2 linked regions of the Astyanax mexicanus genome follow. The protein of the gene in region 1 interacts with the protein of each later gene in a biochemical or structural test. Links are inferred from orthologs where the notes say so. Each region holds a gene or a part of one and is shown on either strand. Other genes may lie near its edges. The genes, in order: cabin1 and mef2d.

Region 1 (7,101 bases):
TTTATTTGCAGAAAATGAGAAATGGGTGAAATAACAAAAAATATGCAGAGCTTTTAGACCTCAAATAATGCAAAGAAAACAATCTTGGCATGTTCTCCTCCACCAGTCTTTTACACTGCTTTTGGATAACTTTATGCAACTCCTGGTGTAAAAATTCAAGCAGTTCAGCTTGGTTTGATGGTTTGTGATCATCCATCTTCCTCTTGATGGTTCCAGAGGTTTTTTAATTTGGTAAAAAAAAAAAAAAAAATTAAGTCATTTTTTTTTCAGAGCTATATAAATCCATCCACAATCCATAATACTTGTGATCAGTTTGTTAGATTTCACCTCCACATAGAAGTCCATGGCAGTGTCCAGGTCATCCCTAAGCACAGCAAGACTGGCCAGGTTTTTGTAGGTGGAATATTTCAGCATTAACCCCGGGTGTTTGAGCCCGACCTTCTCATCTTCCGACGCCACCGCCTGAAACAAATCCAGAATAACAGACATATTGTTAATTACAAAAATATCAGCAAAACAGCCTCATCTAATTTCACAAACAGCAAGAGTCACATTTTTACCTCCCTAAGCAGCGGTGTCTTAAGAAGCACATGGTAAGCTCTGGCCGACTCCTCAAACTTGTCATGCTTCTGTAGGTCAAGAGCTTTGTGGTACAGGGCAAATGCCTCTGCCTCCTGCAGAACAGTGAAGAACAGGGGATGGAAATTGACAGAGGGGAGACAATTTTAATAGAAAGAAACTTTCAGTGACATCACAAAGTTAATCAAGATTACAGAAAGCAAAACTTACCTGAGCCTCCTTGGTCTGACTGGGTTTAGCGCTTCGAAAGTGATCCTCATGTTCATCTGCAGTCTGAGAGGCTGCATTAAGAGCAGCTATCCGGATCTGTGAAAGAAATGAAGTTAGCAAATAATTTAATAAACATTTTAATGAAAAAAAAAAAGCAACCAAACCATGAACTCGAGTGAAAGTCCTTAGTTTTGTATTTCTACTTAAATGTAAAGTATTTGCCATTAAATGTACTTTAATATTGAAATGATTTACTTAAGCTCTTAAGGTCTTATGTCGATTTTTCATATTTGTAACACAACTGAGTTTTCCTTACTATACTACATCTATATATTTCATAATTTACGCATGTATATAGGCACTCTTAGATTTTATGATGTTGCATAAATTGTAATTTACAATGTTAGTTCACCATGTGCTTGAAATGGGTTGCGGTCAAAATAAGATAAAAAAATAAATAAATAAATAAACCATATATAACAACTTTTTTTTATTATTCTGCACAATGTTTAGCAAAAAGTAAGACATTTGAGGAGAAGTCACCAAAATAGAAATATTTCTATATGTCTAAAAGATATTATGTTGCAAAAAGCATGGACTTCCATATCTTTCTATGGAGAACAAGATTGTCAGTTAAAAGACACAGATTCAATCTTACCATGGCTTGTTATGTGTTAACCATCACCACTGACTAATTATTAGGTTCTGTAAAAAGATGACAAGAATCAGAAGACAGGATTAGCAATCTTTATCACATTAAAAAGGCTACCTAAACTCTAGCTGCTATTATATTCTTTAACAATATCAGCAATCTAGTGTTACGCTGAACCTAAATGACCCACAGAGCTCACAGAACCAAGACAGATCATTTTAAATGCAAACTAATAATTAAACATTTCTAAGGAAAAACACAGTAGGTAGCTTTAAATGGTTTGTGAGCCCCTTCCAATCTAATCCAATTTTACATTTCGGTAAACGGCAAAAGTATTTGACGCTTTCAGGATCTGGTGTGACATTCCTTGTGCACCAAAAACTGCAACAAAATGTTTCTGGTTTCAGATTTGCCGCACCGGCTGCGAGGTATATTGTGGGTAATAGGACTGTAAGAAGTTCACACAAGTCACCTTCCATGCATCCTCAATAACGTGGGCAGAGCAAAAACCCATCCAGGTATTTGTTGTGTACTTGGCTAACTGTGATCTTCTAAATGGAATAGTACTTGGGCTGCATCTGATGATGCTTTACGAGTCACAAGAACACAAGAACAGACAAAAAATGACCTATACTTCTCGTTTAAACCAAAAAGTTCTATTTTTATCTCATCCATACACAAGACATTATTCCTTTTATGCACACAAAATTGGTATTTATCGTTCTCCTTAACGTGGACTCGTGAACATTAACATTAGCAAATGTGAAAAGGCCTTGCTTAGAACAAAAGTTACTTGTCTTAAATTTCCTTCAGTTTTCACACAGTCTGTCCAAACTCTTTAGAGATGGCTTTGTAACCTTTTGTGCTACGATAAGGATCAGACTTTAAAATATCCCTGCTTTTTTGTTTGTTTGTTTTACATAAAAGAGGGTACTGCACAATCACACATGAGTGTCATCCCAATTAAAATGCTAATCCTAAACTGGCACATTATTTTGCCACTCATGTTTGTTTGCTGGTCTAATGTTTATACCTCGCTCGTTTGTTAGTTTTTTTCTGGGTCGCCTGGGTCGCCTCGCCACTTGTTCTATGACTTGTGTGAGGTTTGGCTGAGGTTTTAGGTCAAAATTATGCAGAAATATAGAACATTCTAAGGGGTTAAGACACTTTTGAGCACCACTGTAGTAAAAATTAAAATATATCAGCTAACGGCTAACGTTGGTTAAGCTATAGTTTGGCTGTCAGTGTCATCTTCATAACTAGCTTTTTACTGAACACACTGGCTTCAAACAGTATTTACTGTTAGCTACCTTACCTAATAATATAGCGAAGCTCCTGTAGTCAGTGTCAACTAGTGCAATTTATTAAAAACGCTAAAATAACCTATATAACGATATAAAAGTATTGTTATTAGCGGTTAGCTGGTTAGCTAACCCAGCTAGCTATTAACTCCCACAGCGACACTCTTTGTTTACAGTCCCATTCACTCTTACTAACGTTCCGCTAGCTACGGTTAACTAACGCTAGCTTAGCTAACCCATATAACGCTCTCTTCCTCCCCTCTCAGTGTTAAAAAGCCGGTTTCTGCAGCATGTTGATATTCCCTGCAGGAATATATGTCTGTTTTTAATACATGGATTAAATCTTACCGGCTCAGAGACGCAAGTTGTGCACCAGAAAGCATCTGCAGGCAAACGGGCACATCTAATACCGGCCGCTCTGATTGGCTGAAAGAACACAGGCGCCACAGAAAGCAGCCAATGCTGATTTAGCTTTCTGTATTTGACTCTGAGACGTCATGTTCATTTATTCCAGGACAATTATTTACCTGCTATTCCGCCGAATCGGTGCAATTTTATGGATAGAGATTAGTCTCAAAACTCCTGACAAATGTGTAAAAAAATAATCCATTAATTACACAGACACCACAAATACATTTCACTGCTCACAAATAAATACATTTCAGTCTGTGTCTCACGACCTGCAATTGGTACAAATACTGTCAAACTCATAAATACACTTTTCTAGTTTTTATGTATAAATCATAATTTGCATGTAAAACTGAATGCATTTCTTTTACATGTACTTGCATATTTTCAAACTTAAAATGTATTTATAAAGTGTGCATCTGCAGTTTGTGGATCACGTTTGTTTTTTTGTTCATTTCCTCTCGCGTATTTTGGCGTTTGAGACTTTCCTTTTGCATTCCTGCACCTGATCCACACACAAATGCACCACTCCATTCACGCGAACAAGCCGCCGCGAGGGGGCGCTGCTGATTTGGAGGAATGGCGTAAGGGCGGATAGGATTCATTTGTTTGCGTTTGCGCTCGTTTCTCTGTTTCTTTGGGTCGGCGACTTTTTACTTCTGTTGTAAAAAGAGTGTCCACGTTATTTCGTGATTTCTCTCCGTTTTCCACTCCGTGCAATAGACTGAGTTCAGCTGATCTAATGAATTGCCATACCGTTTATATAAAGCCACATTATTCTGTCCAGACTGGTTTGTTTATTGGGGTTGTCTAGTCTCACCACACTCACTAAGTTGGGTAGATACATGTGTAATGTTTGAAATATGTATTGCTAATATAAGATATCTGTAGTATTATCTTATATGAACTTTGCTACTAAAATTACACCTTGAAAAATGTTACCCGCTTTATTGAGGTTCTAGCGCATGTACTTCTTACTTTTAAAGTATTAATGTGTCTTATTTTATAGTTTTTATACATACAGTTGTTTACAGCAGAATACTTTTTTCCAGCCACGTCGGTGCCCGGGAGCCCCTCTGAAATATATAGGGTGTTTGGCTGTTTAACTAAGTTAACAAGTTATACGATTGTAAACAAAATTATTCAGAGGGGCTTAAAGTGTGATATGCCAGCTAGCTCTGACTAGATAAACTTTCGGAATTGTTCATAATATTGTGGAAGAACAGTATTAAAAATAAGCTACCTCATGAAAAGTAGCTATTGCATGAAATGGTTAATATTTAGTAGGAGTTTTGTGATTCAAAATCACACATGCTGCTCACAGAAAATGTTGTTAAATTAATTTAAATTTACTTTTAATTTCAAGTGATGTATTTTGATTTATTATTCATGCAGAAAGACCCTTGACCAAGAACAACATCTTTTATTTGGACATCCACACATTTTTCAACCAGACAATGCAAAACCACACGCCGCACACTGTAATGTGTAAAAGCATGTCTGTGGAAGAGGATACAGGTACTAGATTGGCATACAGTACTAGTAAAAAGTTTGGACACACCTTGTTATTCAATGTTTTTTTTTCTTATATTTTTCCATTCATTGTAAATTAGTACTGAAGTCACCCAAAAGATTGAGTAAAAAAACAAGTCTGTTATTTTCTTTCAAAGCCTCATTTTACACCAAGCCTCTCTGATTGAATCATTTTTTTTTAAATCTGTGGACATTTCTTACAATGTAAATGTTGTTCAATTAAGAAAGCAAGCAACATATTGTATCTGTTATCCATTTATTCACAAGAAATTCATTTTCACAGTCTATGAAAAGTTAATAAAGGATACAAACTGGGTGACCGATTTTTTTTCACACTTAAAAAACAGCAATAAAAAAATAAATAAAACAAACCCTGCGTTTAAAATCTGTTATACAGAAAATGTAAATTACATTTCAAACACGTTCAGTCTGCTTTTTTACACAGTTAAAAGTGTAGACTGAAAAAATGGCTTTTAAAATGGCTTTTCAATTAGTACAATTAACACTTGTTTGGCAAACAGTTTTAGCCCAAAATGGCACACGAAAAAACAATTTACTAGTGCAAATGAAAATCGAAGAGATTTAATTTATAGATATGCCTTGCCAATATGAAATTAAAGATATGTGATCTTGTCAATATGACTATAAAAATATCCTTTACAGGTTTCTACAGGTACCTAAGTGAGCACAATTGACCCGGCTCTCTCTGGGTTAGTAGATGGTGGTCCCTCTCTCCTCCTCCTCCTCCTCCTCCTCCTCCTCATCATCACCACCATTGTGATGGTGGCCGATACAGGGGTCTGTGGTTAAAATGCATCAGAGTGCTTTCTGTAAAGCATTCAGAGTTGAATGCCTAGTAATGCTGCATTGGAAACAGTTAAAAAAGATGTGGTAGATGACATCATGTGTATCAGAGGAGGCATGCACTTGTTCAGACCCTCCCAGCCATAGAAACATTTTAAGTGATAAGTGGAGGTCGTAGTGGGTGGGTACATTGACTGGCTAAGCTAAATTGGGGAGAAAATTTGGTTGCATTACAGAAACCCTAAATATGAGAATTAAACAGATAAATTTTACATTTGTATTACTGGTGGCATTTAAGACCAAAAAGACTTGCCATACTATTAAACATCAACTAAAAGATGTCTAAAGACATACATCTGCTCAACAGAAGACTCCTTCTAAAATTGCACACAGCAGCATAGCCAACAGAACTAGCATATTTTTTTTGCACTATAAAGCGCACTTAAAATCTCCTTTAATTCTCCACAAAAATGGTCAGTGCGCCTTTTAATCCGTGTGTCTTATGTATAAATTTTACCAGTCAGGTTGTAAGGAGCAGTAAAGCCACTCCGCTGAAGTACAGTGTATTACAGGAGTTTCAGTTTAGTTCTCCAGCACCGAGGCTGGAGTAGTATTAGCATTAGCTGCTAGCCGCTATTTCCCCATTCATAGGTGAGTATTATCGGACTGTACCTGGAGCAGCATTAGCATTAGCCGCTAACTGCGCTACAACGTTTGTCATTCAGAGGTAAGTATATCGGACTGTGGTCTGCGTGTTTACTGTGTTAAAACAAGCTACGTGGGACGAACCACTAGCTAATATTGCCCTGGCTTACTGGAGCACTTAGGGTGACTCAGTGTAGTGTTCCTGGGTGGCAGTAGCCGCTAACTGCTAGTGGCTCGCTGCTAATGCTTCTTAGCAGCCTTATTGCTGGAGAAATTGGGGAATCTAAGCCTACTGTAAACGAAAGCACTATACTCAGCCTAATAAACAGTTTTCAGGAGAGAAATCTGTATAGGTGAACATCCAGCACTCGTTTCACTTTAAAAGAAAGTATTTTTGTTACAGTTTTGTTTACTTAGCTTAGCTTTACCTGACCTGCTAAATTAGAAGTTCCATAGAGTCTGTTTAAATGCGCCTTATGTATGGAAATCGACCAGAAAATAGTTAATTGATAGTGCGCCTTATAAAATGGTAAGCCTTATATTGCGAAAAATAAGTTTTTCTGACATTTCTTATTTCTTTAAAAACTGCGATCATCAGTAAACAATGGCACTTAGCATTGAAGCTCACAGTCTAAATGCATTTTACAAATGGAGCTGGGCTCTATAATCCAGCAAACCCAGTGGCACTCCTCTGGTTCTCAACGTTTGAGACAGTTGAAGATCTGGAGCTCAGAGCAGGAGAAACCCTCCCGTCAGAGAAGTCGTCTCTGTAAGAATTGGAGACTCTGCTGCTGTGTATGCTTGTGTGTATGCTACTTGCTGAACTCCCTGAACCTCCCTTGGAACCTCCACTGTCCCGACTTTTCTCAGAACCAGAAAATCTGTGAATACTAGTTTGGGGTGGGGAGAAACTCCATTGCTGCTGTGCAACCTCAGGTTGGCTCAGTGGAGCAGGAGGGGTGCTGGAGT
Region 2 (8,087 bases), on another chromosome or scaffold:
CAGAGCTCCTCTTACATAAACAAATAAACAAGCGTCAGCAGGGATTCAGAGATGACAATCACACACATTCCTCTCTGCATATAAGTCAGTGTGGCCTAATTTTCCCTTGTGTCCATACTAACACTATACTATGGACAATAAAGAGGGGGGGAAAGGGAATGGAACATCTCACTCATTTCTACACTCAACAAATTTAAAGATATTTTCTATATAACCAGAAAGTTAGACGCAGTATGTCTCCAATAGGCCACTGTGTCGTGACAGAGCACAAACAGGCTAAGAAACAAGGTAATTAATGCAAGACTAATAACTGAAACATCATTAACGCCAGCTGTTTGCCAAGTTTTGTCAGCAATGAATCACTAATGTTTTGGTAAATCAGGCACTCTCGCGTGATGTCTTCCTGCCTAGGCAACACGCCAACATGCATGGCTTCTAAGGTCTGTGTACTGTAGAAGAAACCTGGCAAGAACACAGAGCAGAGAGTAAGAGAGTGATATTTCAGCATGTTCTCTTCTCAGTGCCATGATCAATCCCAGCAATTGATCATGGCAATTGCTCTCCGACAAACCACTAACAAGCACAGCTTATCCTCATCAGGGTCCGGTGATGTTACTGTTGTTCATTTTTGAACATTAAAAACAGGCAAAACAACATCAAACAACTAGCTTGTAGGCAGCGGCGTGCGCTGGATAGGAGTCTGATCTATATCGCTCACTACAGCACTCCAGGTGGGTGCCAGTAACTGGATTGAGGCTCTAGGGACCAAACAGTCGCCATGTGACACCCTGCTGCGAATCACAACGCACACACTACCTGACTGCATGACTGAGGGGCTTCACTCATTCTGAGCATGCTTTAGGACAGGCCAGGATTCAAAATTGAGGCCACTGAGGCCATTCAACCTAAACACATAAACGAACACATAAATAAACCTGGAAGCAGTCAAAATGTCATGTGGGTTAAAGTGCAAACTGTACTGCTGTCAGGCTAAAACCTTGTATCTTGAAAATGAGAAATTCACAGGGGAAAGGAAAACACTTCCTTTCCAATAAATGGAAGTCAGTGTAATAGACTTAAATTAAAGTCAAATTTGAATCATTTCTATTGGTTCACTCATCCTTGAATTTTAGGGCAATGTAGAGAACTATCAGATATCAAATAGATATATTATGGGGCAGTTTTACAGAAAAGGATTAAGTCTAGTCAAAATTCTAAATGGAGATTTCTCATTGAAAGAAAAAATTAAGTTTAGGACTAGGTTTAATCATTGTCTGGGATAAATGTACGGCAAGTTGTTTTAGTCTAAAAAGACACCAAATATACGTGTTTCTAACTGATATTCCATTATTACTAATATTATTAATATTAGATCTACAGATGTATAAAACCATATCTATACTATGATTTTGATTAGTCATACGCTACCACTGATTTACATGGAATACTACTCTCTCTTATCTATGATTACATTTTTAATCTTAATTTAATTTAATAATTTAATTTTAATTTTTAAGTAAATTAACAAGTAAAACATTGAGTCACAAACATTGACTAGTATGAACAGCATTGTATTGAAGATTATGTTTTAGACATAACACTGTACATTTCCAAAACACACTATTCTAGTAGTGAAAGCTTTAAATATTTTAGATTTCAGCCCATTTTAGAATTAGCTTTTGAAGTCAGAATTATTTTTCAGCTATTTGAACTTGAACGTATCTCTAATCATAAAAATAACAATTTTGGAGATATTTTCTGCATGACAGTGAAGAGTGTGGGTGCTAACATCACAGTAAGGCTTAGCACATCACAAAGGGGGTGGAAAGAGCGATGTAGTTATTATACAATGAGGAACACTAACTATAAAAGTTTCTAACCAAGCTCTTTAACACTTGTACCCACCCAAATAAAACACACACAGACACCACATGCTGTTGCATAACACTTATACAGAGAAAAATTGAGAGTGCTGCTGGTTTGTGGCAGCACTGCGTAGGCAACACCAAGTTTTGGCGTGGTGTATTAACTAAAAAATAATCAACATTTTTACCTTAACGTTATTTATTACTAACGTTTATTTTGCCTAGACACACGGAAGGTGCCAGCTACGCGTTTGTTTAAAAATACCCTAGAATACAAGTATAAACATTTATAGTTAGTATTTAGGATGTAAATAAGGAGTACAGGAAGGAGTACATACACATAGGTTAGCTAGGATGTTTTGTTTTTAGTTTCAGAGATAAGCAAACACAGAAAACGTAGGTAACTGCAACTGTAAGAGCGTGTTGACAGGTCCGAACAACCGCCACCAAATCTCTGACACTCGGCTGTCTCTGTCCGCCGCTGTCTGTCTGTTGCGCACCAGAAAACACAGCACACACAGCCTGCGCCCGGCTTTACAGCCTCATATTAGGGAGTTAAAAATCACTATTTGCAGTTAAACGTCCAGGAAAAATGTGTTTGTTAGGAAACAGTCTATTTAGTTAACGGAGCTAGCTGTCTTTAAACACCGGGCCAGTAACTAGATAAGCTACCCCTTGACAACAGGCGAGTTAACGCTAGCTAGCTAAATGGCAAGCTAGCCTAGCAACGGTAGCCAGCCAGTCAGCCAGCTAGCTAACGCTGGCTAACCTCAGCTAAGCTAGCGAGCTAGTCCTCCATTTTGGGCTGAAATCCATCCCAGCACAACACCGGAGAAATTATTTGCAGCAATGGGACACATCCACAAAGCTTAGTTAGCTAGCCAGCTATACGTATAAAAGGAAAAGAGGCAGTTTAAGAGTTTAAACCCGTTATTTTCTAAATAAACGCAGAGCTAACGAAGAAAGCTAGTTAGCTTAGCTAGCTTTAGCTAATATAACCTAACTACCAGCCTAGCTGGAGTCACTTACCCGGAGTAGCTACTGTATCCACATCTGTAAGGTGACGAGGAGCTTCCCTAAAACCTGTAAACGGTTGCCTGAGGAGAAACGGGAATGAAAATCCTCAATATTTTTAAATCAAGCCCAGCCGAAGTTCATCATCAATCACCAAACTCTCTCCCCTTGGTGCTCTAGATAGGATAATTGTTTAGCTAGCTTTGCCCAGCCAAATGATACACTGTACAAGGTGTCCTGTCTACCATGATTGGCGTTGCTGTATGATTGACACACGGCGGGCCAATAGGAGGCGGGCTTGAATCGGCTCCAACCAATCACGTCCAAGGAATCGTGCCGCTTACTCGCAAAGGCAAAGTCGGTAGGCGAGGGTTTAAGGTGAAATAGGAAGGACTTGAGAGATCATGCTGGAGCTATAGCGAGCTACCTGTATTCATCCGCCGGTCTGTGTACATATTTTCGCGTATGTGTGTGTACACTTATTTTTAATACTTTTATCAATATTTGTGATTTCTAAATATACATACGGCGTGTGTGTGCTGTGATATCTGCTTTGCGTGATAAAATATATTCTTCTTTATGTCTGTGTATTCTGTTCTGTGAACATCACAAAATATATAATAACTTTATCCAACATCAGACCTATTATAACCCAGCTAGTTGTAAAGTAATGGCTTTAAACGAGAGAACATTCGATTATTGCTTGATTTTGCTCATTTAAGAGAATTTACTGAGCTGAAAAGTATTATTCACCTCTCTCAAATTCGATTGTATATATAAAAACATAAAAATGATTTTTCTGATGTAAATTTAGCATTTAAATGTTTTTTAGTTGCTTTTTAATGTCTTGAACCGAAGGGAAAACAAATCCTGGCACGCTGAAGGAAAATGACGTAAAGCGCTACTGCCTCGTTGCAGCGGAGGGATACAGTGTTTACAGAGCGAAAGGGAGTGATGCGCCCGAAAAATTAAAACGCGAGAGTTGCCAGCGCTGAGGCAAGTGGAGGAGTTACGTAGATATTTACGTAGTTTTCTTAAACAGGCTCACTGGATTTCAATACGATTCTATAAAAGCACGCGTACAGATAGGGTATTTGTTATAGAGTAGGCTACAGAACAAATTGCGTGATTTCTTTTGCGCCATATTTTACCCCCCCCCCCCCCCCCAAATACACACACACACACACTGAAGCTGGCTACGTCACGGCCTGAGCCAAGTGGTCACTGAAGTGGCATTTAAAGCTGTAGTAGCATGTTTAAAGCACTGTTCAGCTGAGAGACAGAGAGACAGATAGAGCTACTCCACTTTGCTTTTGTTTAAAAAGTGAACTACTAAATTCTTTCATATCCATCTGTCAGTCAAGTCAATAAATAGCTTATATATGTGATAAAATCAAACTGGAATACTGTAAATAATGTAGGATGTCATTGCACTATACAACACTACTAATTAATTTTAGATCTGAAGTAAACACCTGATTCGAGTAGCCTACTTAAAGGGCAGCAATTATATTTATCTTATAGTGAATACATTACAGAGAAGAGAAATTAAATTAGGGTAATCAGGAAGATGAATGAGAAGGTCGAGCAAGGAACAGAGAGAGAGAGAGAGGAAGAAAAAGAGAGAGAGCGCTTACTCTCTGTTTTATTCTTTATGTAAGGAGCTTATGTACTGGGGGTTTTGTCGAAGGGAATTAATGCAAGCAGATGGGCTCCCTGTTGCCCTCTCTCAGATCTTTCAATTCCTACATGCAGACAGTGTGCCGGACAGCATGCAACAGTGGAAACCCCTATGCATATGACAACAAATACAAAAGGTAAAGTTAGAGCAAGTTATCATAATCATTTTCAGCCTAGGGTGGGTAAACACATTAGAAAATTTAAATTGTTAAAAACAGGGCCACAATAGGGTGGCATTGATAAATGATCAAGTTTCTGTATGATGAGAGTTAAATCAGGAGGCGTGTTGGTTGTTGGTGCTGGTAATTTGTAAACCTATGTGTCCCAACAATGCAATTGCATTAGCTATCATAATTTAGTGCCTATTTTTTCTATAGTGCACCTGTCCCTGTTATTCTGGATGTATTTCACTTTTAGTGACATTCGATTATATTGAAAGCAACATTATGTAGCATTTCTATTTTAATACAAATGATCCACTGGCGTAAATAGACAGAATAGCATCTTATGCCATAGTTACTTCAGGCTCAGCACACTTCTAACAGCTCTATGCATCTCTGGTGAGACACGTAGGACAATCTTTCACGTCAGATGCCAGTTCTGTATCTGTCAGCTTTTACAGAAATATAAAGTGTAAAGTATGTCCTTTTGGCGTGTCTCTAATATCTCTTTTTCACTGATGTGAAACTGGCACCGTTCTGGTTTGTGAACATAATTTTGAACCGGTTCACCACATTTCCACCAACAAAAGTAGGTTCCGTAACCAGGAATGTTCAGTCATGTCTGTTTGTACAGGAGCACCGCTGCTGTGCAATGAACTCTGTTAATGAGGTATGATATGAGGTAGGGGCTGGTTCACTGAAAAGCACCACGGTTCTTATAAGCCTTCATAAGGGGAACTCAGAAATGCCAGCCTGGGCAGGGAAGACAAATTCGAGGGGGGGGGTGGATGCCTGGTTAAAAGCCAGCCCTAGCTAACGGGCTACAGTTTCTGCTTCTGCTAGCAAACCACAAACAACTTGGAAATAATTACAAGAAACAATGTTTTTGATACAGTGCTACAAACTCTCATGAACCTTTGCAGTGACACAAATCAGCCAATAATAGAAGAGCTTGTAGTTTGTTTCCCCCTGAGTCCACTATAAAAGGAAACACAGTTAACTCTGTTCCAAGCTTCTCTCCAAGCTGCTTTGTAGGTGGGCTGCATTTCTCAGCTGCTACGTATTTGAAGGCTATTTCAAAGTGACACATCTTTCATATACAGCTGAGAAATGCAGTCAACATTTGGAATGATTTGAAGTATGCAGCTGATGTATCCTTCACGGTACTTGGTTACCCACAATTCACTGGGTATGTTCATCGCAAGGGGAAAATGAAAAAACAGCAACATGGAAAAAGGTGGGAAACAAAGACTCTGGTGCAGAGTTGATTCTTTTTTTTTTTTTTTACAAATTATTGTAAATTATTACACAAGTTTAAATTTTACAAATTATTAAGTTTCGTACCTCAGTTTCATTGTGTGAAGTTTGTATGTGATGCCACCTCAAAGCCATGTTAGAATCAGCTCTAGTTCTAGACTGCTTTGCTTAGGGGGGCAGTAGAACATAATGGGTGGGCATATTGCTAGTCATATTTTTAAAGCCAGAGCTAATAATACTGGCTAAATTGAAGAAATAAAAATGTAGCATATGTCTTCAACAGAAAATGACACATTATAGTGTTTTCTACAGTGTATATTTATTTAATGAAACTTAAAATACATGCAGAGGGGTATCAAGTTAAGTCCGTGTTAGGAAAGATTTGCTGCTACTAACCAAGTTAGTAGCTTTCTTAACAGCTAGCTGCTAATACTACAAGCTACAAGCCAGTAACACTGAGCAACAAATCACCACAGTTTAGCAAACGTTACCTTGTGGAAGTCAGTTTAAACTGAAAGAAGTGTTTAATTCACCCTTGTATGTCCCTGCCTTTAATGTTCACACTGACAGGACCTGCTGTACTGAACAAGAACATCTCTGATTGAACGCTGCCGATTTTATATGACGCAAAGAGCCAATCAGAAATAAGCAAGGAAATATCTTCACGTTGCACAGGAAAATGGGCTTAATGATTGGTACAGAGATTTTTTCTGAGATCAGTTAAAAAATACTCATTGCTAGCATTGTGCTTGGGGGGCAGAAACAAAATTTGGCCCTGGTTAGAATGTTCCTAATGTGTGACCACCATGCTATTGAGAAATACTCTTCATAGGCCAGTACCTCCATGGACTTGTCCTACCCCAACCGCAGCTTAGACTTCCAAAACAGCTCTTGCGTCTTTCTGTAACAAAATAATGTGATTCTGAACAAATACATTGATCCAGCACAGTGTGTGTTAGGACCTTTTACCTTCATCTTACACAAATGACAGAGATGTGTTTAAGGTACTGGTTTGAGTTTTTTCAGCGTTGGTTTGACCTAAATCTGAGGTTATGTGACTGCAGTGTGATGGGCTATCATGAGCCTTCAGCCTGACACCCTGTGTGTGCTAGAACATCTGCTCCAAATCTCTCCCCTCAGAGAATGGAAATGGGTCAGATTCTACAGTACCTCCATGATTGCTTTTCTTTTAGTCAGATGCATCTCTCTCTCTTTCTCCCTCTCGCTTTTTCTACATCCCTTTGTCTGTTTGTTTATCCCTCTCAGGCTGTTTTTTTCTGTTCTTGCATATTGAAATATGTATTAAAGTGTATATACTTATAAATCTATACACTTGTAAATCTATATACCACCACTATTACCACCACTGCTGACACTGATGTGCAAATGCAGACACACAAATTACTGTCAATAGAATAGGACTGTCAGATAAACACCAACTACTGGCACTGTGCCTGAGGCCAGTGGTGGGCACAGTGTTTAGAAACTGATCCACTTGTACCACAAACTAACACCCCTCCACCATTCCAGTGTCACTGCAGTGTTGAGAATGACACACCACCTCAATAATAGGTGCTCTGTGGGGGTCCTTGTCATTGAAGAACATGGTGAAAGGTGGATCATAAAGTATGCATAGAAACAGATGCACTACTAATTATAAAACTGCAAAGCATCCAATACGCTCGGTGGAGCTGAAAAAATGGATAATGGATGTAGGTCATAATGTTATGCTTGATATGTGTATAACATGATTATGTTATAAGTACACCAGCTCTTTCTCCTCTCTCTCTCTCTCTCTTTCTCTCTCACTCTCTCTCTCTGGCTCGCTTTTCTCATTAAGAATTGTCATTATTTTCTCTCATACATATTCGTCAACAGATTTTAATGGTGTTTGAGCCTAACCGTCTCTGACTCTTTCTCTTCCGCTCTCTTCTCTCCGTTTCTCCTGAGTGTATTAGTCCAGATGAAAGGTGTGTGGGTGCAGATTCTCCTCTCTGCAGTGACCCGCTGCTCTGCTTTGCTTGGCTTCCATAGCATCCCGTCTGCTGCCTAGCAACATCCCATATCTATGGAAACAAAGCCAACAAACCCTCCCGCCTCCATCAGCTGT

Evidence for each region.
Region 2: the proteins of cabin1 (region 1) and mef2d form a complex in vitro, tested with the Homo sapiens proteins (2 studies listed by BioGRID). The link is inferred for Astyanax mexicanus from reciprocal best matches to the Homo sapiens genes CABIN1 and MEF2D.

Annotation. Positions count from the first base shown.
Region 1 is NC_064419.1:22,924,834-22,931,934, reverse strand, and holds the start of cabin1 (calcineurin-binding protein cabin-1), read right to left. Parts: upstream 3,176-7,101; 5' UTR 3,091-3,175; intron 3,016-3,090; exon of another isoform or gene 2,757-3,015; intron 1,495-2,756; 5' UTR 1,451-1,494; coding exon 1,448-1,450; intron 886-1,447; coding exon 790-885; intron 675-789; coding exon 561-674; intron 463-560; coding exon 328-462; intron 1-327. Other genes in the region: cep78 (centrosomal protein of 78 kDa), read right to left, coding at 6,794-7,101. UniProt on the Homo sapiens protein: May be required for replication-independent chromatin assembly. May serve as a negative regulator of T-cell receptor (TCR) signaling via inhibition of calcineurin. Inhibition of activated calcineurin is dependent on both PKC and calcium signals.
Region 2 is NC_064413.1:40,264,999-40,273,085, reverse strand, and holds the start of mef2d (myocyte-specific enhancer factor 2D), read right to left. Parts: upstream 3,164-8,087; 5' UTR 2,895-3,163; intron 1-2,894. UniProt on the Homo sapiens protein: Transcriptional activator which binds specifically to the MEF2 element, 5'-YTA[AT](4)TAR-3', found in numerous muscle-specific, growth factor- and stress-induced genes.